2 linked regions of the Tamandua tetradactyla genome follow. The main gene of each other region encodes a partner of the protein of the gene in region 2 in a complex. Links are inferred from orthologs where the notes say so. Each region holds a gene or a part of one and is shown on either strand. Other genes may lie near its edges.

Region 1 (10,222 bases), on a different chromosome or scaffold from region 2:
GGCACGGCCATCATGCAAGATGGTAACACCATGCGCAACAACTACGGGTGTGACCTGGACGCGCTGGGCACAGGTGCACGTATTGGCATGATGCGTACTGCCAAGGGCGACCTGCACTACTTCATCAACGGCCAGGACCAGGGCGCTGCCTGCTCAGGCTTGCCTCCGGGTAAAGGTGACTGCTCTGTGGTTTTCACCTGCCACCCTTCAGCTTGCACCCCACTGGGCCGTCGGTCTTCTGAGCTTCCCTTTCCCATCCAGAGGTGTATGCAGTAGTGGATCTATATGGCCAGTGTGTCCAAGTGTCCATCACCAATGCCACCGGCCCCATGGACAACAGCCTAGCGACCAGCAACACCGCCACTGAGAAGTCATTCCCCCTGCACTCCCCAGGTCCAGCCGGCAGGGAGGGAGGGGGGCTGTCTTTACCTGCCTTGGGCCTGAGGGTATACAGCTCAAAGACAGGCTGGGGTGGCTGCAGGCTAAGGAGAAGGAACAATTGATGGTGGGAAGTAGAAAATAGGGGAGCTTATGCCTGGTACCCAGAGTCTAGACAGTTCCCTGCCACCAAAGACACTGGGAGTTGGGCATCCCTGGTTTGGGAATGAGTCTTGCTCTGGTGAAAAGAAGTATCAGGAGGTCCTGAAGGAGTACTTTATGTCCACTTCCTGTTTTATCTGAGAGTTTAACTCTGTGTCCTGTCCCAAATTCCTGCTTGAAGCTTGTCACGTCAGGCCTTTCTTTTACTCTGGCACCATCTTTCTACAGTGGCTGGTGTGGCTCACCGATTTCACAGTACTTGTGGCAAGAATGTCACACTGGAGGAGGATGGCACGAGGGCAGTGCGTGCGACTGGTTATGCTCATGGCCTTGTCTTCAGTACCAAGGAACTCAGGCCTGAGGAAGTCTTTGAGGTGGGTTGTACAGATACAACAAAGGCGGCTATTGGGAGTATCACATTGGAGCCAGACTCATGCCCACTGATGGTTTCCCCTCTCCCAGGTGAAAATAGAAGAGTTGGATGAGAAGTGGGCAGGCTCACTCCGGCTGGGGCTGACCACACTACCACCAGGGGAGATGGGCCCTGGAGCAGGGGGTGGCCCGGGACTGCCGCCCTCTCTGCCAGAGCTCCGGATGAAGACTACTTGGATGGTATCCAGCTGTGAAGTGAGGCGAGATGGGCAGCTTCAGAGGATGAACTACGGCCGGAACCTGGAGAGACTGGGGGTGAGGCAGCTGGCTCCAGGCATGGGGCAGAGTAGGGGTGGCAGGGAGAGGTAGACTGAGTACTTTCATTCCCCTTTGGTCCTAGGTGGGAAGCCGTGTGGGTGTTCGCCGGGGGGCAGATGACACAATGCACATCCTGGTAGATGGAGAGGATATGGGGCCTGCAGCCACTGGCATCGCCAAGGTAGACTAGAGGCCTTCCTTGGGTTCTACAAGTGGGGCTGAGGTCTTGTGCTGACCTCTGACTTCTTGGGTCCCTTGTGCCTCCAGAATGTGTGGGCCGTGCTGGATCTGTACGGTCCAGTGCGGAGTGTGTCTATTGTCAGCTCCACGAGGCTGGAGGAGTCCGAAGGCACCCAGCCTCCTTCCCCCAGCTTGGATACCGGCAGTGAAGGCGAGGAAGAGGACGAAGGCGAGGAGCAGAGCCTGGGAGTAAGAAGCTGCAGCAGGGCCTGCCAGGCTCACTGGTGGGCAGTGAAGGGCCACTGGAAGCCGGGTCTTTTGGAGGGTCTATGATCCGGTCCTGAAGAGGCAAAGGCTCATAATTAAGCTCTGCATAAACTCAGGTGGGTTGGGTCAGGTACAGTGGCAGCAACCCCAGCAGCTCAGTTTCTCCTCCACACCAGGGCCAGGATCAAGTGGCCATTATGCCCACAGCCCTCGAGTTCCTGGAGAACCATGGGAAGAATATCCTGTTATCCAATGGGAATCGTACAGCCACACGAGTGGCTAGCTACAATCAGGGCATCGTCGTCATCAACCAGCCCCTGGTGCCCCAGCTGCTGGTCCAGGTGGGACTTGCCTTCTTAACTCCCAGCTCCTCTGGCTCCAGCATTACCTCAGGCCAACCCTCCCGGAGAAAGGCCATTGAGTTGAAGGAAAAGTGGAAGGTTGGTCTCCTGGCAAAGTTAGCAGCTGGAGGGCTGTGGTAAGGGCTGGAAGAGTCCAGAGGAGATGCGTGACCCTAAGTGTGGGCGTAGGGAAGGCATTCCAGAGGAAGGGGCCATTCAGCTGCAAACATGTCAGTTACCCAGTTCAGGGAAGTCCTTAGGTACAAGAGTCCCTGCTGAGGCAACAGCAAGACCGTGGCTTAAAGGGGAAGGAAACAGTTGAATTTGCAGCTTCTAGGCCCTGCAAGCACCAGCAGGGCATTTTCCCAGGCCACGCACTGGGAGATGCAGTATTCCTTCCCTGGCTGGATGAGGAGCCTGGTTCTTCCGGTTCAGTGGCCCTTTCCTAGGAGGCCATAGCTGGAAAGGGGCTACCTTCTCCCACAGGTGCGAATAGACTTCTTGAACCGACAGTGGACATCGTCCCTTGTCCTGGGAGTCATTGCTTGTCCACCTGAGAGGCTCAACTTCCCTGCCTCTGCCTGTGCCCTCAAGCGGGCAGCCTGGCTGCTGCGGGGCCGAGGTGTCTTCCACAATGGTCTCAAGGTGAAGGAGGAGCCAGGGGAAAGGGAAAGGGCTGGGTCTCTGAGTTGGGAGGGGCTGGACAAAAGGGAAAAGTTGGACCCCTAGCCTTGGTGATGCAGGCAGGGTAGGAAAGTGCATGGGTGTCCTTAGCTGGGGCAGTCTCAGGCCTACCACTTCTTCCTGTGTTCCTGCCATTGAGAAGGTTCCAATTGGGAGGAAGTGTGAAATGGAGTCTAGATCTGTCATTGAAGCGAGGGCTAGGGCTTAGGCAGTGGGTGGGTGAGGCAAAGCCCAAGGCCCAGTACCTGGCAGCTGAACAACAGGTGGGGACGGCTGCTGCTGGTGGAGGCCAGTCTCTGGGAAGACAGCAGCAGGTCTCTCCTCCCAGATCTGTGAGAAATTTGGGCCAAATCTGGACACATGTCCTGAAGGAACCATCCTGGGACTGCGGCTAGACAGCTCTGGGGGTCTGCATCTCCATGTCAATGGAGTAGACCAGGGGGTGGCTCTGTCGGACGTCCCCCAGCCCTGCCATGCACTTGTGGACCTCTATGGGCAGTGTGAGCGGGTAAGTGGCAATAAGGGGGGCAGGGGGCGTGCTTGGGAACCAGGGATGGCAAAGGGGCATGCCTGTGGTCAGAGAAGGGAATCAGCAAACCTTGGCGGATGACCAAGTTCTGGGTGACCACCCCCTTCCCTGCAGGTGACGATTGTGAGCCCTGAATCAGGAGCTGCCAGTGGCAAGGGTGCTGGAACCCAAGGGGACATGGAGAAAGCTGACATGGTGGATGGTGAGGCAGCCTGAAGGGACCAGGCTCCTACCTTCTCTCCATACTTCCAGCCCCAGCTTCCATGACCGTCACCTCTGCTCCTGTAGGTATCAAGGAGAGCGTGTGCTGGGGTCCACCACCAGCTGCTAGTACCTTAAAGAGCTGCGAGTACCATGCCCTTTGCTCCCGCTTCCAAGAGCTGCTGCTGCTTCCTGGTGAGTATACCCAATCCTTGCTGGAACCTGCCTCACTCCAGAGCCAGTCCAGGGCCAAGCCCAGAGCCCTGGAGACCAGTCGGAAGGAGGCAGCATGGCCAAGAGCCAGGGTGGGAGCCATGGCACCAAGCCTGCCACTCGCTCTCCCACAGAGGATTATTTCATGCCTCCGCCCAAGCATAGCCTGTGCTACTGTGAATCTTGCCGGAAGCTGCGAGGGGATGAGGCCCATAGGCGCCGAGGAGAGCCCCCCCGAGAATATGCCCTGCCCTTCGGGTGGTGCAGGTTCAACCTCAGGTATATGTGGGTGGGGTACCCAGAGGGCACATGGAAAAACGGAACTTCCTGGCTAGAGAATGACCTAGGGGAGCCCTGCCCTATCTGTCCATCTCCTAGGGTGAATCCCCGCCTGGAAGCTGGCACACTAACCAAGAAGTGGCACATGGCATATCATGGGAGCAATGTGGCAGCTGTACGCAGGGTACTGGACCGAGGGGAGCTGGAAGCAGGTACTGTGGAGCAAGGGAGGCAGGGCAGGCTGGGTCTTGGGGACATGGGAGGAGCAAAAAGGGGTGCCCTGACCTAGCTGTCCTCACAGGCACTGCCTCCATCCTGAGCTGCCGGCCCTTGAAGGGAGAGCCTGGGGTGGGTTTCGCAGCGCCTGGCGAGAACTGCGCACCTCCTCGGGAGGAACAGCCCCCTCCAGTGCTGCTTTCCCCCTCCCTTCAATATGCTGGGGCTGAGACCTTGGCATCCAAAGTGCAGTGAGTACATGAGAGGGGAGGAGAGAGAAGAGGAGGGGTGGGGAGAGATCACCAGGGAGTCAGACCAAGAGGGACCCCAGGGCCACTCGAGTCTCCATGACTTGCCCTCCTCTTTTTTCATCTTATCTTACTAGTTCTTTAGTCTCCATCTCAGCCTTTGCTTCATTTATTCATTGAACAAATAGCACTTCTAATCCTTCTTTCCTGAACAGAAAAGGAACCCTTGTGGGAATATGTCTCTCTCTCTCAATGGGTTTATGTATAAGCACTTAGTATTTTTAAAGCTAATTTTTTCATAAAGTATTATGAAAAAAGAAAAAATAGAGTGGGTGAAGTGGGTCAGAAGTGGTGTTAAATAGGGTAAGTCAGGGTGGGCCTCACTGAGATGGGATTTGAGCACTGGCTTGAAGGAGGAAATGAGGCATTTAGCTGAAAAGGTATTGGGAGGAGCATTTCAAGTAGAGCAGCTCTGGCCAAGTCCCTAAAGTGACAGTATCTTCTAGAATAGCAAGGCCAGTATGTCAGAGCAGAATAAGCCAGGGGGAGAGGTGCCAGGGCCAGAGGCCTCACTCCTCTTGCTCTGCTTCTTGCCTGACAGATTCCGGGACCCTAAATCCCAGCAGACACACCAGGCCCAAGTAGCGTTCCAGGTGTGTGTGCGCCCTGGCTCCTACACCCCTGGTCCCCCGACTGCTGCCCTCAGAGAGCCTCCTGATCCTCACTTCAGTCCAGCTGAACTTGAGTGGGTAACCAAGGAGAAGGGGGCCACACTCCTCTGTGCCCTGCTGGTACGGGTGGAATGAGGGGCGAGACCTCACTACGACAAGCACAGTTGAGCCCTGGGCCCATGAACTCTGGGTGACCACTGCCTCCACCTCATTCCAGTGACCCACGGCATGCACCGGGGCTCAGTCTTGGCAGATGTGCAGGAACATGTGCTCAGGCTCTCGGATTTAATTGGGAAGTGGAGCACACCTCCATGTGCAGGGGCCCAAGACACTCCCTCTGACGTGAGGGAACTTGTGGAGTCAGCCCCAGGCCCTGGGGACCCCTCCTCATGCACTGACTTGGGGAACATGACTCCCTATCGCCCCAACCCCAACCACTTAATTTATTTCCGTTTTTTTTGTTGTTGTTATTTTTTTTTCTCCTGGTTACTGTGAATCCCAGAGGAGTGTCTCCCTGTGCCCCACATGAAGCTGCTTTTTTTCGGGGGCCATCGGGCGGGAGTGGGGAAGGGAGGGCGCGAGGGAAGACGGGGGTCCTCTGTACAGCTGTTACTGACTCTGATTTCTAAGGAGCCAATAAACACCGTCTCAGAGCCCTAGCCTCGGTCTTACTCGCGTGCGCCGCTCTCAGAGGCACCTCTTCCCTAGGGCTGCCAAGTGTGCCGAACCCTGGGAGGGCGGACGCTGGCACGCGACCTCACGAAGTTAAGGGCTGCGTCCGGTAGAAGTAGGCCCAGCTCAGGGGAGTCTACAGCCGGGGTGCACGGCCCCCGGCTGGCGAGCAGCCAGTGATCGCAGGCTCCGCAAATAGTGTTTGGACGCCACGGGCACCCGTTACGCTGCGTTTCCGCCTTTTCCTCTCCACCCAACCAGCGAGGGCTGCCGCTTTCTTGACTCCGGAAGAGTTTGGCTTACCCGCCGGATGTGACGCAAGAGGCTAAGGACCACAGGAGGCCGCGGAGAAGGCGAAGGGAAGGCGGGTAGGGAGGGGTCGGTGCCCGGGACTGGCGAGGAAGGGGGCGGGGATCCCCGAGGCTGGAGGTCCCGCCCGCGCACGCGGAGAATTGTGGCTGCGGGCGGGACCGAACTGCGGGCGCCCAGGGACACGTGACTGGAGCGGCGCGCCGGCTTCCGCCTCGGCCGGGTGCGGCCTTCCCTGAACGCCCGCCTCCCCATAGGCCTGGTTCAAGGTCTGGCATTCAGTGACAGAGTCGGGCGCCTACGGCCCGAGCGACCCCGACAGCACCATGCCCGCGCTCCTGGAGCGTCCTAAGCTTTCCAACGCCATGGCCAGGGCGCTTCACCGGCACATCATGATGGAGCGGGAGCGCAAGCGGCAGGGTGAGCTGGGGCCACAGCGGGTGGACATACGGCGCAGGTCTGACCCCCCACCCACGACCATACCGGTACGCCGGCCGGCAAGACTAGCCAAGGGTTGAGACAGCCTTACTATCGTGGCAAGAAAGCCGATCTAAGTTCCAGAACCGTTGAGCTGGGAAGGACCTTGGAGAGCACCTGACAAACCTTACCTCTCCTTGTACCCTGCCGTGTAGGGAAGTCTTTCCCCTCCAGAGGAAAAGAGCCATTACCAAAGACATACAGGAGCATCTGGGTTAACTATTTTTGCTGCTCATCAATATCTGTTTCTACTATTTTAACACCCTGCTACTTCCCTATTCTGCCTGACTCTTTTTCCAGAGGAAGAAGAGGTGGACAAGATGATGGAGCAGAAGATGAAGGAAGAACAGGAGAGGAGGAAGAAAAAGGAGATGGAAGAGAGAATGTCATTAGAGGAGACTAAGGAACAAGTAAGCAGTCCCTTGGTTTTTCCAGCTGTGATTTCTTCCCTCAGCTCTCCTGTCTTCATCTCTACCCTTCCCTTGCAGATTCTGAAGTTGCAAGAGAAGCTCTTGGCCCTACAGGAAGAGAAGCACCAGCTTTTCTTGCAGCTCAAGAAAGTTTTACATGAAGAAGAAAAACGGAGGCGAAAAGAGCAAAGGTGGGGTCGAGAGCTAATAATAAAATTGTGGGGACAAGTGGTAATAGAATCAGGTAACAAAAGATGAGCACCTGTCCTTGACTTTGACCTGCCTTCCCTCCCTCCAGCGACCTGACCACCCTGACATCAGCTGCGTACCAGCAGAGCTTGACAGTTCACACAGGAACTCACCTACTCAGCATGCAGGGTGAGGACAAAAGAAACCACGTGACAGTATGGGCCCTCTGGGGGGTTACAGCCTCCCATTTCCGTATCATGAAGCCTCTCCCATTCTAGGGAGCCCTGGAGGACACAACCGCCCAGGCACCCTCATGGCAGCTGACAGAGCCAAACAGATGTTCGGACCCCAAGTGCTGACGGTAAGAGTAGAATTGGGTGTTCTAGCCCCAGTTGCTTATATTGCTGCTTCTTCCATTCAGACCTGGACATCCTTGCTCCCAGTATTCAAGTCATTAATTACCAAGCAGTTACTGTATAGAACAACGGTATAGAGATAGGCATAAGTCACTGAGGTTCTGCTCTCAAGGAATTCACTGGCAGTGCGTCCTCATCCTCTTTCCTTAGACTCGGCACTACGTGGGCTCAGCAGCCGCTTTTGCAGGGACCCCAGAGCATGGACAATTCCAAGGCAGCCCAGGGGGTGCCTATGGGACTGCTCAGCCCCCACCTCACTATGGGCCCACACAGCCAGCCTATAGTCCCAGTCAGCAGCTCAGAGGTGAGTGATGGAGAGGGGGATTAAAGAGTATTATAAATGGGAGAAGGGAAGTTCCAATGGCTGGGCCTCTTGCCTTTCTCAGCACCTTCAGCATTTCCTGCAGTGCAGTACTTGTCTCAGCCACAGCCACAGCCCTATGCCGTGCATGGCCACTTTCAGCCCACCCAGACAGGTGAGAAAACCTCATGCAGGAGTCCTTTAATCCATGGGTCGTCCCTTCCTCCTTGTCCTATCTTTACATTCTCCTTCCTCATCTAGGGTTTCTCCAGCCTGGTGGAGCCCTGTCCTTGCAAAAACAGATGGAACATGCTAACCAGCAAACTGGCTTCTCTGACTCTGTAAGTGTGGAGCCATGGAAGTTCAGGGTAAGGACTATGCCAAGGGAACCCCAGGCTGCTCAGGTCCTGACTTTGTTCTCTTGCAGTCCTCCTTGCGTCCCATGCACCCCCAGGCTCTCCACCCAGCCCCTGGACTCCTTGCCTCCCCCCAGCTCCCTGTGCAGATGCAGCCAGCTGGAAAGGTGAGGATGGTGACAAACTTAGCTGTCAGAATCCCTGTACTACCAGGAAAACAGGAGATAGTTGGACAGGGGACCCCACCCCCTAGCTTTCCCTTTCTCCTTGGGGGAGTAGATAGTTCTCAATAAAAGTTTTAAAGTGGAAGGTGAATACATGTACTGAAAAAAAAATCCTCATTTCATCACCATCACCAGTCGGGCTTTGCAGCAACCAGCCAGCCTGGCCCTCGGCTCCCCTTCATCCAGCACAGCCAGAACCCGAGGTTCTACCACAAGTGACCATCAGATTGTATCTTCAACCTCACCCCTGCTTCCAGGGATGAGGGCTCCCCCCCTATGTGTTCCAGGCCAATAAAATCTACCTGCCACCACTGCTCCTGGCTGCTGCTATTTGTGTTGCCCACAACCCAACTGTCAGGGCTGCTTTGGGGGAGGGTTTAGCAGGTCCAGACCCAGACAAGAGGTTGTTATTAACTCAGTGGCAAACTGAATATACATTTTACTCAGTGAATACCCATTCACTTCAACCCCCCAAAGAAATGGCTGAATTGAGAGCTTCATATTAAACTTGTAGTTTTATTCAGGTTTGATTTTAACAAATGTGTAGGGGAGAGAGCCCGCAGGAAAGGGTGAAGCCCATGGAGGCAGGGCCCTCCCAGATGCCTGAGGAGGGGGCAGGTCCCCTCCCCTCTCCTCCTCTTCCCTCCCTATCTAAAGGGGTTTGGGGAGAGACATAGGCAGGGGAGGGGGCCGGTCCCCAGTCTGTAGGGGTGGTACTTAGGGTAAAGGACTATGGAGAGAGGAGACCAGAACAGGGTTAAGTAGAAGGGTACAAGGACCATTTGCTAGAATCCACAGCTTTCTGATTCCAGACTGAATAAAAAAAAACAAAAAAAAAAAAAAACAAAAGAACAAACCCAAACCTAAACCACAAGCAGTGCCCACCCACTCTCCCCCCACCAGGGCTGTAGTGCGGGAGGGGAGAGGAAGAGGGCAGCTTCACCATGGCTCGCTCCTGGCCAAGGGAGCAGGGTGAAGGGCAGGGCATCCCCGACAGATTGGGGGTGGGGAGTAGGGTAGAGGAGTAGGAAGAGAAACCAAAATAAAACGTCAAATAAATCGTGTAGGAGGAATCCAGCCAAGGGCCGGGCCAGAGCTGGGCCAGGCTGGGGGAGGGGGCCTCTGCAGGCTCCAGGATCTGCTGCCACCACTGCCACCCTAGAGACGAGAGAAACCAGGTAAGACACGACAACACCTTCAACACAGAACAGTGGGGAGAACAGGCCAGGCTGAGGGCAGAGTAAGCCTGGAACAATTATGCTGAGTACAACTCTTTGAAGGGGATAGCACGGGAAACTGTCAGACTTACCTAGGAGCCAGTTATTTTGCCATGGCCTTGATTGCAACAGCTGCCTCCTCTGTCATGGCTGACAGCACCGTGATCTGTTGGAGGCAAGAAAGCTAGTCAAGAGCTGCTCAAGTTCAGAGGAAGAAGGACAAAGAGCAAAACTGGGCACAAAGGAAAGACGTGAAGGGGACACCATACCAGGATCTCTTCTCCACAGTCGTACTTCTGCTCAATCTCCTTGCCAAGGTCTCCCTCAGGCAGACGAAGGTCCTCCCGCACCTCCCCACTGTCCTGAAGCAGCGATAGATACCCATCCTGGATGCCAATCAGCTGAGAGCAGATAGGGAAGAAAGCTGAAGGTAGGTCCAGGTAGGCTGAGAGTAAAGGTCAAACGGGTGACAGCAAAAGTGCTAATATCAAATGCTGTCTCCTTCTGCCATTTCCCTCCTCTCTCCCAGCACAAGCTCCTCTGGTCAATCATATTCCCCCCCCCGTAAACCAGCCTCCTCCCTGAGACCATC
Region 2 (10,961 bases):
AAGAGACAAAAGAAAGCAAAACGAAATTCTACCAGCAAGTGACAGCCAGTGTTAATGGCCCAGACATTTTTCTATATTTACTTGCGAGTGCCTATATGTATTCTTTCCTCATTCAAACCAAAACAGGCTTGTTCCATCCATGTGCACTGTGACCTGTGTGTCCGCCTGACAGGCCCTCACCGGTTTCGCTCCCATGCCGTGACCCCACGGCCTGAGTCCCAAGCCCGCCCTGGCCCAGGGTGCCCAGAGCGCCAGACTCTGCCCCTGGCTCTGCACGCCTCAGACGGATTCCCGGCGCCGACTACGCCCTGGCATAGAAATACCCTCAAGGCTTAAACCAACAGGCGTGAGGCCCAGGCTCCCTGGCTGTCCACGTCGGATTTGGTTCTAGGCCCTTTTGGAACAGACCGGAAGCTCTCCCAAACCCCGACGCTGCCCTGGGAGCTCCCTAAATCCCAGGAGGCTGAAGAAAACCCGAGGGCAGCGAACATATGCTACCATTTGGCAGCTCATAAAGCACTTCCACACCCTTTATCTGAGTTTGAGCATCCTAACCCTATAAATTCGGCAGAGCAGGTATCTGTTATTCCCATTTTATAGATGATGAAATGGAGGAGGCTTGGAGAGTTGGGGTGACTTGCCTTTTTGTCTTCTCTTCATTTACCTCCCCTTTGGAGTCTGGCTGACTCCAAACCCCACCAATGACCCAGAGCTCAGGCATCACCTCCTCCAGGGAGCCCTCCCTGACCTCCATTCCTTCCAGGCTAGTTAGACAGCCTCCTCCAAACACCTACAGCTTTCTGTGTCTCTTAGCTACTGCCACAGTCCCTAGCATAGGGGCGGGGATTCCTATGATCCCCATTTTATGGGGGAGGCCACTGAGGCATAGAGAAGGGGTAGGACTTGCCTACTGAGCACCTCAGCTGCCGGCTCAGGCCTCGGACCAGCATCTTCCATCTCGGAGGCAGGGCTTCCTTTGCTCCTCTGCGTCCCCTGTGGTCTGCAATCTGCAACTCCAAAGCACTGCTGTAGGCTCATTTCCCTCTCCTCCTGCACTGGCCAGGCCCTATGCGTCCCAGCCCAGTGTGAGGATGGGGAGGTGGGGTGTCTCTGGCTTTGATGGGCTTGGTCCCCCCAGCCTGGGCTGACACCCTGTTGGAGGGTGGCCTCGGGAATAACAAGTAACTGGCCATTTATTGGGTGTCTCCCAGCCCCGCCCTGTGCCAGCCCCTCCTCCCACTGCACCTGCAGCTGGCACCATTGTGATGCTTCTTTGCAGATGGGGAGGGCAAGACCCTGGCCCAGGCCACCGGGGCGGAGCTGGGGTGGGAAGCCAGGCCCCTGTCCCTACTAGCAGCAGGCAGATCAGGAGCTTGCTGGCACCCGACGCAGAACTAAATGCACAGTCGGAGTACAGGGGATGGCTCCCGGGGGGCCAGAGGCCTCGACAAAGCCCAACTTCTCCCTCCCGCATCACCTGGCTGCCACCTTCCAGGGACAGCTGACTGGAGGGCTACTACCTCTGGCCCAGGGAACACGGCTCCTCCCTGGACCTCTCCAGCACTCCCCTTGGATAGGGTCACACACCACCTGCTGGCCCCCTGCGAGCCCCAGGCTCAGGGCCAGGCTGGAAGCAGCTGTCACATCTACCCAGGCCAAGTTCCCAGCTCTCTATTTCTTCTTATTTGAACGAGACATCGCCTGTCTGCTCCTGGCTGGCAGAGAGATGCAGGGCAAGGCCCTGCCTTTCACTGGGCCTTACCTTGCCTACCTGTGCAAGGATGGCAGGGGTGGGGGCGGGGCTGTGTCTCAATGGACCCACCGTCTCTGGCATTCCAGGGCTTGCCTGCAGGCAGCAGAGCTCAACAGACACGGGACACTGCAGCTGGGGGCATGGGGGTACAGTTATGACCCCCAGCCAGCTCCCCAACCTCTCCTGGCCTCAGAGTTCTCATCTGTAAAATGGGCACAGCAGGAGAAAAATGGCTGAAATCCAAAGTTATACTGATTGTATGAAATGTAGAGAGGAGAAGACATGGGTAATTTAGTTTCTGCCTGTTTTCCTTATCTTTTTCTAAATCCTCTATTATACTCAAGTATTTATAAGGGGGCAAACAAATGCTTTCTGTTATGGACTGAATTGTGTCCTTCCAAAAGACACGTTCAAGTCCTAACCTCCAGTCTCATGTATGTGGTTAGTTAAGAGGAAGCCAAAGAGGCTGGGCCCTTATCCTTTACGACTGATGTCCTTTTAAGAATTTCGAGACCCTCATTTGGAATTCTGGCCTCCAGAACTGGGAGAAAATACATTTCTATTGTTTCAAGCCACCCAGTTTGTGGTATTTTGTTCAGGAAAGCCAAGGAAACTAGCAAACTTTCTTTGTAAATTAACTTTATTGAGAAATAATTGACATATAATAAGATATAGCCACTTTTTAAAAAAGGGGATAATGGTACCTATCCTCTTGGTTGCAGAGGACTGATAGGTTAATGGATGTAAAGTCTTAGATGTGCTGGCATATGACAAGTGAGCCCAGAGCCACCCAGGCTTCCTCTTCCTGCTGGCCTGGCCGGGCCCCAACCTCACCCCACTCCACCCCACCGCACCGCTAACACCAATCTCTTTGGATCTGCTGCCGCCACATTCATTGTCCGGACCTGACCTCATCACCGAAGGCCTGGACAACTTCCACAGCCTCCTGCCAGTCTCCAAGGCATCCCAGAGGAATCGCCCTAACATTCAAGTCTGGCCACACTCCTGCTCTGCTCTAAAGCTTGCCATGGCTCTCCACTGCCCTTGGCTGAAATCCTCAGCTCCTCCACACAGCGCTATTTGGGCAAGCTACTTAACTTCTCTGTACTTTTGTTTTCTTAACTAAAAAAAGAGGAATACAATAGTACTGCCCTCACAAACCTGCAGGATTCCGTTTTGTGCAGGGGGCGAGGTACACGAGCTGCCCGTGGCTTCTCTGGCTTGTTTCCTTCTCGCTGTCATCTTGTTCTCACCTGCTCTTCCTTGAACACGCCAGGCAACCTCCCCCCTCAGAGCCTTTGCACTGGCTGTTCCCTCTGGCTGGAAGAATCTACCTCCAAAATTCTGCCCAGCTTGCTCCCTCACCTCCCTCAGCCATTGCAAAATGTCACTTTCCCCATGAGGCCTCCAAGGAACACTCTATTTAAAATGGCAACCCCCTACCCCTGCCCCCTCCCATGCCCTATCCCCCTCCTGTTTGTTTTTTTGGGGGTGCATGGTCCAGGAATCGAACCTGGGTCTCCCACATGGAAGGTGAGCATTCTACCACTGCCCCCTCCTGTTTTATTTGCTCCATGTTATTTATCACCATCTATTTCACTTGTTCATTGTCTGTATTTTTTCCTAGTAAATCTAAACAATTTGAGGGCAGATTTTTTTGCGTCTATTTTACTGTCTGACCCTCCACTCCCCCCCAGCACCTAGAGAATTCCTGGCACAAAAGGTGCTTGCTAAATAGGGGTCAAATGACTAAACGAATGAATGAAAGGAAAGCACCTAGGATGTATCAGGCAGGTGGTAAGTACACCATAAATATTATTACTATTATTTATTATTCAAGGTGAGGCTCATATGTCCTCCTCATTGACTTCCAAAGCTTATAATCACATCTTCCGAGGACCCACCGTCCCCTGCCTGTCTCTTAATTATAGCAAGAAGCACTCTGCTCCTTAATGATATCTTTTTTCACTTAGGCTGAACCAAATGAAATTGCCATTTTTTCGGCAAGTCAAATAGTCAGATATTGGCCGTTTCACATGTTTTAATCTAACACATTTCCCCAGCAACTTGCTGTTTCCCCCAGAAGTGAAGTAACCTCCTCCTGGCCCTGCAGACTAGGCTATGATTGCTACCCCCTCCAATCTGTTCTGAAGGAGGCAAGGTCCAGTCTAGGAACTTAAAATAATTAATAAAGGGTCCTACTGAATTATTTTCTGGTCCTCCTGACAAATCTCTGTCTTATAAGATTTGGGAGAGAAGATAAAAACAAAACACACCAAACTCTCAAACAGAACCGGCTCTGGCCATCTGGAAATAGGAAAGGGATACGGCAGGAATTCCTTCCCAGGAAAAAACAGCTAGCTGCTGGCCTGTCAAAGACTCATTTAATGATGGGGAAGGGGGGGGAGCTGGAACATTTTTTGGTTTCCACTGTGTTCAGTGCTCCTTCCAATAAAAGGCTTCAGTTACAAAGAGTTGCTAAGTCTAGAACATACTGAAAGAAATAAAGCAACCACTGGGTTTACCCCTATTTCACAGGTGGGGAAAGCGGGGTTAGAGAGGGGAAAGGGGTTGGCCCACGGGACATAGTGGGGTAGAGGCAGGGCTCATCGTGGAGGCCATGCCTGCTGATTCTTCATCTCGGGCTTTTCTCTAAGGACCACACTGCTTCCAAAGCTGGCCAGACCCCGCAACGTAAACTTCAGTGTGACTAATTTGTGAGCTGTGCTTTTCAAACAAAATGTGTTATCAAACCTCAGATAGAACACCGGATGCTTTTTCACTTTGAGATAACTTCTCGTAAATAGCAGCATTACCCGTCTCTGCCTAGAGTCAGTTCCTTGGGGGTAAATCCCCAAAATAGAGGGTTAGGGACAAGGACAGGTAGGGTCGTTTTCATGGGCTCTTGTAACAAGCTGCCAGATTGCCTGGCAAAATGAAATGCCACCAGCAAATCCCTGTAGCCTTGCCTGCACAAAGTTTTATTTTTTTCTGTTTATTTTTACTAAATTTATAGGGATACTGCTTTCCTTTGCTTAATGGTATGTGTTTATGAAAAAGCTCTGGTCTTGGAATCAGGATGCCTGGGCTGGACTGCTGGTTTTTGGAGTAAACTTTGGCAAGTCACGTCTCCTTTGGGGGGGGGGGGGGTAGGGGCTGCCAATCTGTACAATCATGTTTTTTGGAGATCCTTTTCAGCTTGGACATTTCATAATTGCATGGTGCATTTTGTAATTAATAGCATAGAATTACTTTTTAAATAATCAACATCTGCCCTGCCCCTAAATTGAGCCCAAATGGCTTGGATTAGCTATGAAGGAAAACAGGGCCCAGATTATTTTTTATATATGTATGGTGATGACAAACATAGAAGTAATACTTATTCCTGCATGTTGGTGTGACAGCAGTATACTCAGTCTGCTGTTACAAGGGGTTAATAACACTCATTTGTGCATGTCCCTTGCAGCTTTCACTCTAGGTCACTCTATTTCAGCCCTTTAGAATCTCAGTGACTCGCAGTCAAAAGTTGCCAGCCTGCAACAAGTGCTCATCCAGTCTCTGTTTGCAGACCTTCGATGACAGGGAGCTCACCACCTGTCCAAGCCACCCTTCACTTTCTTTAGTGGTAAGAAGTCTGCTGGGTGAAGGGCAGGTTTGAAGGAGAACAAAAGAGACCCAAAGTCCATGCCAGGCCTCCTGCACAGGTGGATTCTGAATAAGCTCACAGCTAAGAAGAGGCCCCATAGCGGACTCAGCTAGCTCTCTCCACCTCTGCTTCTGCTGTCTCTGGCAGGAGACACAGCACTGGCTGGCCCAGACCTGAGCAGGTTTAAGGGACCCTATGACTGGCTCCCAGGGTGGGGCAGGAGAATTGCTTGTTGTTTGTGTGCCCAGAGCTGGACCAAAGGGAGGGACAGGGGCTGGGAAGCAGATTCCAGTGAGCCTGAAGCTGCCTTTGGAGCTAGTGGACAACTTGTCAGCAGGGGTGGGCAACCCAGGTCCCAGGGGCTCTTCACCATGGGGAGTCTGGGGCCACATAGCCCCAGCCATGCTCGCCCCTCAGGCCACCCCCATGCAGACATAACCCTGCTGACTTGGTCGCTCCTGTGGTCCACACGTGGCCCTGTCACACAGGGCGGGGCACCAGCACGTGCCTGGGGCGCAGAATGGGACGGGCCAAACAGACCCTAATGCAGGAGGCGACCGGCGGTGTGGGTCTGGCCCAGCAGGTCTGCGTGTGAGAGCCGGCCACCTCCAGCCCAGGCCGCCCAGCCCCTGCCCGCGAGGCAGTCTACGCGGGCAGAACCTGACGGCCCCACCCCGCAAGCCCAGGCCAGCCGACCGCTGTGCCCGGCTCCCCCCTCCATCGTTTCCCGGACCGGGAAGCCGAGGCCAGCAGGTCACCAGGCCGAGAGAGGAAGGGGCCTGACACGGGCTCCAGGGCCACCATCGGGCCGCGTCGGAGCCGAGTCGCCGCGCCCAAAAGGAGCGGCCCTCGCTGCGGGCGGGAGGGGTGGGCGGTGTAGCCGGTGCCCATCCGGGCCCTGAGCCGTCGGGAGGCCGGACCTCGGGGTAGCCCCTCCCCACAGCGCGGAGACGAAGAGTCCCCGCGGCACCTGCTTGCCCGAGGGGGAAACGGAGGCCTGGAGAGGAGCAGTGCTTTGCGCAAGGTCACGCGGAGGGGCCGGGAACCAGGTCCCCTGCGCCCCGCCGGGGCCCCCCGCGGCGCGCCCAGTTCTCGCATCTCCCCGGGCGCTGCAGCCGGCAGGCACCGCGTGCTCGTCCCGCCTGCCGTTCCCCGCGCGCAGCCCGCGAAGGCGCGGGGCCGCCCTACCTTGGTGACGGCCGCGCAGGTGGCGGCGGCGGCGGCAGTGTCCGGCTCCGGCTCCGGCTCCGGCTCCGGCTCCGTGCTCCTCGCCGCCAGCGGAGTCCCCGCGCCGGGCGCCGCCTCCTACCCGCGCAGCCCGACTGGCGAGATGGGGACCCGCCCCCCAGCCCCGCCTTCCCGCACCCCCCCCACCCCGCCGCGCTCCTGGCCCCCCGGGGCTGGTCTCTGGGCGCGCTCACGGCCCAGCCCAGGCGCGCAGCCGCCGCAGGGATCCGGGCGAGCCACGGGGCCACCGAGCGGAGCCTGGGGTCAGGCAGACCCATCTGGCCGCGCGGCGTAGGGCCGGGGCCTCGACCTCCCCGAGCTTCCCTTTGCCCCCGAGGAGAAATGGAGACGGATCTGTCCCAGCGGGGTGCCTAGGATTTCGATGAAACGATCCGGCCCCGGCAAGTGCGCGCGCAGAGGCCGGCCCTGCAAAGGCGTCCCGGAGAGCCGGGGTCTGGAGCGGCGACTGCAGCTCCGCGCTGGGCGGAGAGGGAGCACCCTGCTCCTTCTCTCGGCAGCCAGGAGGGGGCGCTCTACTCGGCCTCGCCGGCTTGGGGGTCCAGGGGACGCCGGGCTATGGGGAGGTGATGGGAAACTGGGCCTTTTCCTAACAGCAGCAGCTAACCTTCATGGAGCGCTGGATGTGTGCCGGGCACGGCTGCCAGGCCCCTTGTATGTGTAACCTGGCTCTACTGCGCACAAGCCAATGAGTTTGAGGCCATCACTCCCCTATTTTGCCCAGAAGGAAGCTGAGGCACAGAGAGGTTAAGGAGCTTGCTCTAGGTCGCACAGTTGGTAAGTCAACCCCAGGCAGCAAGCTTCTAGTTGCTCCACCACACCTTTTGTTTTGCAGCCTTTGCTCTGGTGGTGCAGCTTCGGGACCTAGAGTCCCTGGCGCCTAGCAGGCATGCTCTATCATTTGTTGAGTAACAGTCTATGTACCACTCCACATATATTATTTCGTCTAATCCTACTAAGCCTTTCTTTAACCACTATTACTACACTCGTTTTGTAGATAAGAAAATTGAGGCTTAGAGTGGCTGAGTACTGGGGGTGGGAGGGGGGGCTCTGAGTTAATTCCTGAGAAAAAGCAACCTGGGCCAGACCCTGGGGCTCAGCGTCCACTGGGCCACCTGCCCAGAGCTGGGTGGGGTCCGTGTGCTGCAAAGCCCAGTGCCTCTTAGGCCCTCAGAGGCTCTACCCTGGGGCCCCATAGGCAGCACCAATGCCTGTTGGTGAGTCGGCTCTTTGATGTTTCAGTAAACCACATGGACAAAATCAGAATGGAGTGGAAAATCCTTATACTCATGGTTCAGTATTGCTTTTCTGTTGAATCATGCCTGGAAGTGGGCACTGTTGACTTTCCAAAGCTAAGGCCTCTCGGTGTTGCAGTTCTCCAAGGCTCAGCCTCAACCTCCCAGGTCCCACTCACCTTGCGTCCTTGCACCTCTGTGTCTTTGCTGGTGCTGTCCCCTCTGCCAGGAATTCTCTTTCCTTGTCATTACCTTCCCCTTTCTAACTGGCCTCACCCTTCCAGGCTCTGCACCAACAGCCCCTCCCCTAGGGAGCCTCCCGGATGCCCCCATGGTCCGCCCTCCCAGCTTTGTGTCTGCATTCTCCCACCCAGTGGCCTGAGGGTTGTTGGATGGGCCTCAGTTTGGGGAAAGGCTGGTTTGACCAGGACATCTCTGGGGGCTGGGGGCATGTGGTCCAAGGGACGGAGGGAAGGGCCACTGGGCACCTCTACAACAGGCACTCTGGGATCTGGCATGTTGGGGGAGGAGGCAGTTGTCATCAGCCAGCATAAATTGACACCCCCTCCCAAGGGGCTTCCTTTGAGAACATACTCCTGCCCTTCCCTTCCACTCAAGCTCTGCATGCTAGAGAGGGGAGCCCACCATTCCTCACTGACAGCTCCAGCTGCCTCCCGAAGTTCCCAGGGCAGCCCCTGGAGCTGCACAGCCTCCTCTCCCTCCACTGGCTGGGCCCACTGCACTGTATTCCTATGCCTCAAGGCTCCACCTCTCCCAGCACCTCGCTTGGGCACCCGGTGTTTGAAATGGCTACGAAGGGGTGGGAACTCCTTTGAGGGCCACTGGGAGACTGGGGGTGTCCCATGGTTGGGGTTCCTATCCCTGAACACAGGAATCCTGTGGAAGTGAGTGACCCCTCCCACTCTGGGGACAGGGAGAGCATCTCTAAAGTGTCCCCCAGACCCCTCCTCTATCTGGACTGCCATCCCTTTGTTCCTGGGCCTCAAATCCTTCCTCCTAACCTGTGGCCCCCTCAGCCCCTGGGAGCCGTGCATCTGGGGCAGGGGTGGGGGTGGGGGCAGCACAAGGTCCATGGGAAGGGAAGGGAGGTGGGGTTGCAAGGATCACATCCCCCAGCCCTGGAAGGCAGCGGCCCCTGGGGATGGGGGTGACAGCTGTGGTGTGGCCAGGAACCTGACACCGGGGGATGGGCCCCCAAATACCCTCCAGGAAAAGCAGAGGGAGGGTGGGCTCCCTGTGGGATACGAGCCCCCCCCCCCCCCCCCCCCCCCCGCCGGTAGTCGCTGCCAAAGCCTTGCTCTCTTTGTAAACCTCTGGTGACATCTTTTTTTTCTCATTTCCCACTGCCTGGAGCGTCCCCGAGGCCAGTCAGGGCCCTCCCAGGATCGTTGGGGAGCACTCTAAGCTCCAGTGCTGGTGAGGGGCAGGGGCCAGACTACAGTGGGGCTCAGTTGCCTGGGGCTGTGTGGCCTTGGGCAGGTTAATGAGCCCCTCTGAACCTTGGTCTCACTGTGCCTAGGGCCAGCTGGAGCGAGCTGATGCTGTGCGACGGGCAACTCTCCTCATTGACAGGGTCTCAGTCCTGTGCACTCCCCACCCCCCCGGGGTATCAGAACCCTGGCCCACCCTAGAGACTGGCTAAGACATTTCAGAAAGCTACTCAGGTCATTCCAGAGGGCAGTCAGGGAGGGAACCAGTGGTACAAGATGCTGGGTGACTGAAAGCACCCCCACTCTCCCCATGGGAAGAGGGAGGGGTGGAGAGGGAAGATGAGGCTGGGAGAGGGAGAGAATGGGGAAGGAGGAGGAGGGGAGGAGGAAGGAAAGGGAAAGGGAAGTGGGAAGACGGGGAGAGGAGAAGGAGGAGGAAGGCAGAGGGGAGGGCCAGGGAAGGGAGAAGAAAGGGGCAGAAGGAAAGGGGTGGAGGGTGGGGTTATCTGCCTGATGGCTGATTTGTTTTTGCTGAGGAGGGAATTTGAATATCAAGGCTGAGCCCAGTGAGGGCTGCAGGCTCTGGCTTCCTGGCGCCTTGGGCCCTTTCAAGCCCCAGGGCCCTCCCTGTGACAGGTCCTGCACGCCATGGGCTGAGCTGCCCTGTGCACCCTGCAGGCACTGACCTTTCAACCCTTCTGGGAGCTTCAGAGGCTCAAGCCCTCGTCCCTGGTCTTAGGGTCACAGCACCCTGGCTGGGGGCTTCCCAAGTAGCTGGCCCTGGGGTAGGCAGGGCCCCTCTCCCAGCCCCAGACAGAAAGGAGCCTTAGATCACTCCTGGGAGGTTTCAGGCCCTCTTCCCCTAATCCTCAGCAATCTTCCAGAGTTTTCCCCACCTCCCAGTCTGGTCCTCCACCAGGTCCAAGTTTTACTGAGAAAAGAGTTGCCAAAACTGCTGTGCAGCCTTGAGCCCCGGCCTTGGCTGGAGTGGGGTGGAGGGAGCCTCTGTCTGCTGAGGAAAGGCCTGGAAAGGCCCAGAAGAATCAAAACCAGAGGAGGCCGGTGGAAAGCCCGAGTTCCTGCACATAGTAGGGGCCCTACGGTCCAGCTCTGAAGCGACTGCGACCTCTCACCTCCCTCCCAACCCCATCTTTCACAGAGGGCCCTCCTCACCCAGCCTGCGAAGTCGGCAGTGGGAGGCAGAAGTGGGGCACACAGGCCCGGCTGCTGCTCAGAAAGGCAGACACCCTAAAAGCGCTCCTAGGGAGCGGAGGCAGCGCCCCCGCACAGGCGCCGAGGGACACAGCAGCCCCAGCAGCCCCAGCCGCCCCTAACGGTGGGACTTCCCGGGACCGCTGCCAACCGAGAAGCAACTACGTTTCAAACCTCATGAACTGTTTCCAATATTTACAGTTTTAAGTAGATACAGGTTGGGGCATTTGCAAAGCTACCCCATGAAGGCAGTCCCGAGCTCGCTGGGGTGGGGGCATGCTCTGGGGAGGTGAGGAAGGGCACTTCCCTGGCACCCACCTGGAGGAGGAAACCTGGCCAATGGCCTCAGGGCAGTCCACATCCCAATGGGGACAAGGAAGCAGTGAGAGGGACCTGCCCAGGGCCTCCAGGGATGAGGC

The links.
Region 1: CORO2A (region 2) and GPS2 share a complex: the UniProt entries of both Homo sapiens proteins name them as parts of the N-Cor repressor complex. The link is inferred for Tamandua tetradactyla from reciprocal best matches to the Homo sapiens genes CORO2A and GPS2.

Annotation. Positions count from the first base shown.
Region 1 is NC_135332.1:61,178,027-61,188,248, reverse strand, and holds GPS2 (G protein pathway suppressor 2), read left to right. Parts: upstream 1-5,837; 5' UTR 5,838-6,095; exon of another isoform or gene 6,096-6,099; intron 6,100-6,105; exon of another isoform or gene 6,106-6,297; 5' UTR 6,298-6,366; coding exon 6,367-6,460; intron 6,461-6,817; coding exon 6,818-6,927; intron 6,928-7,005; coding exon 7,006-7,118; intron 7,119-7,225; coding exon 7,226-7,305; intron 7,306-7,394; coding exon 7,395-7,477; intron 7,478-7,682; coding exon 7,683-7,836; intron 7,837-7,918; coding exon 7,919-8,008; intron 8,009-8,094; coding exon 8,095-8,174; intron 8,175-8,260; coding exon 8,261-8,356; intron 8,357-8,548; coding exon 8,549-8,632; 3' UTR 8,633-8,726; downstream 8,727-10,222. Other genes in the region: NEURL4 (neuralized-like protein 4), read left to right, coding at 1-175, 262-393, 769-914, 1,003-1,227, 1,313-1,411, 1,498-1,659, 1,854-2,117, 2,505-2,663 and 7 more; EIF5A (eukaryotic translation initiation factor 5A-1), read right to left, coding at 9,734-9,796, 9,900-10,031. UniProt on the Homo sapiens protein: Key regulator of inflammation, lipid metabolism and mitochondrion homeostasis that acts by inhibiting the activity of the ubiquitin-conjugating enzyme UBE2N/Ubc13, thereby inhibiting 'Lys-63'-linked ubiquitination.
Region 2 is NC_135328.1:15,425,417-15,436,377, forward strand, and holds the start of CORO2A (coronin-2A), read right to left. Parts: upstream 4,845-10,961; 5' UTR 1,039-4,844; coding exon 919-1,038; exon of another isoform or gene 908-918; intron 1-907.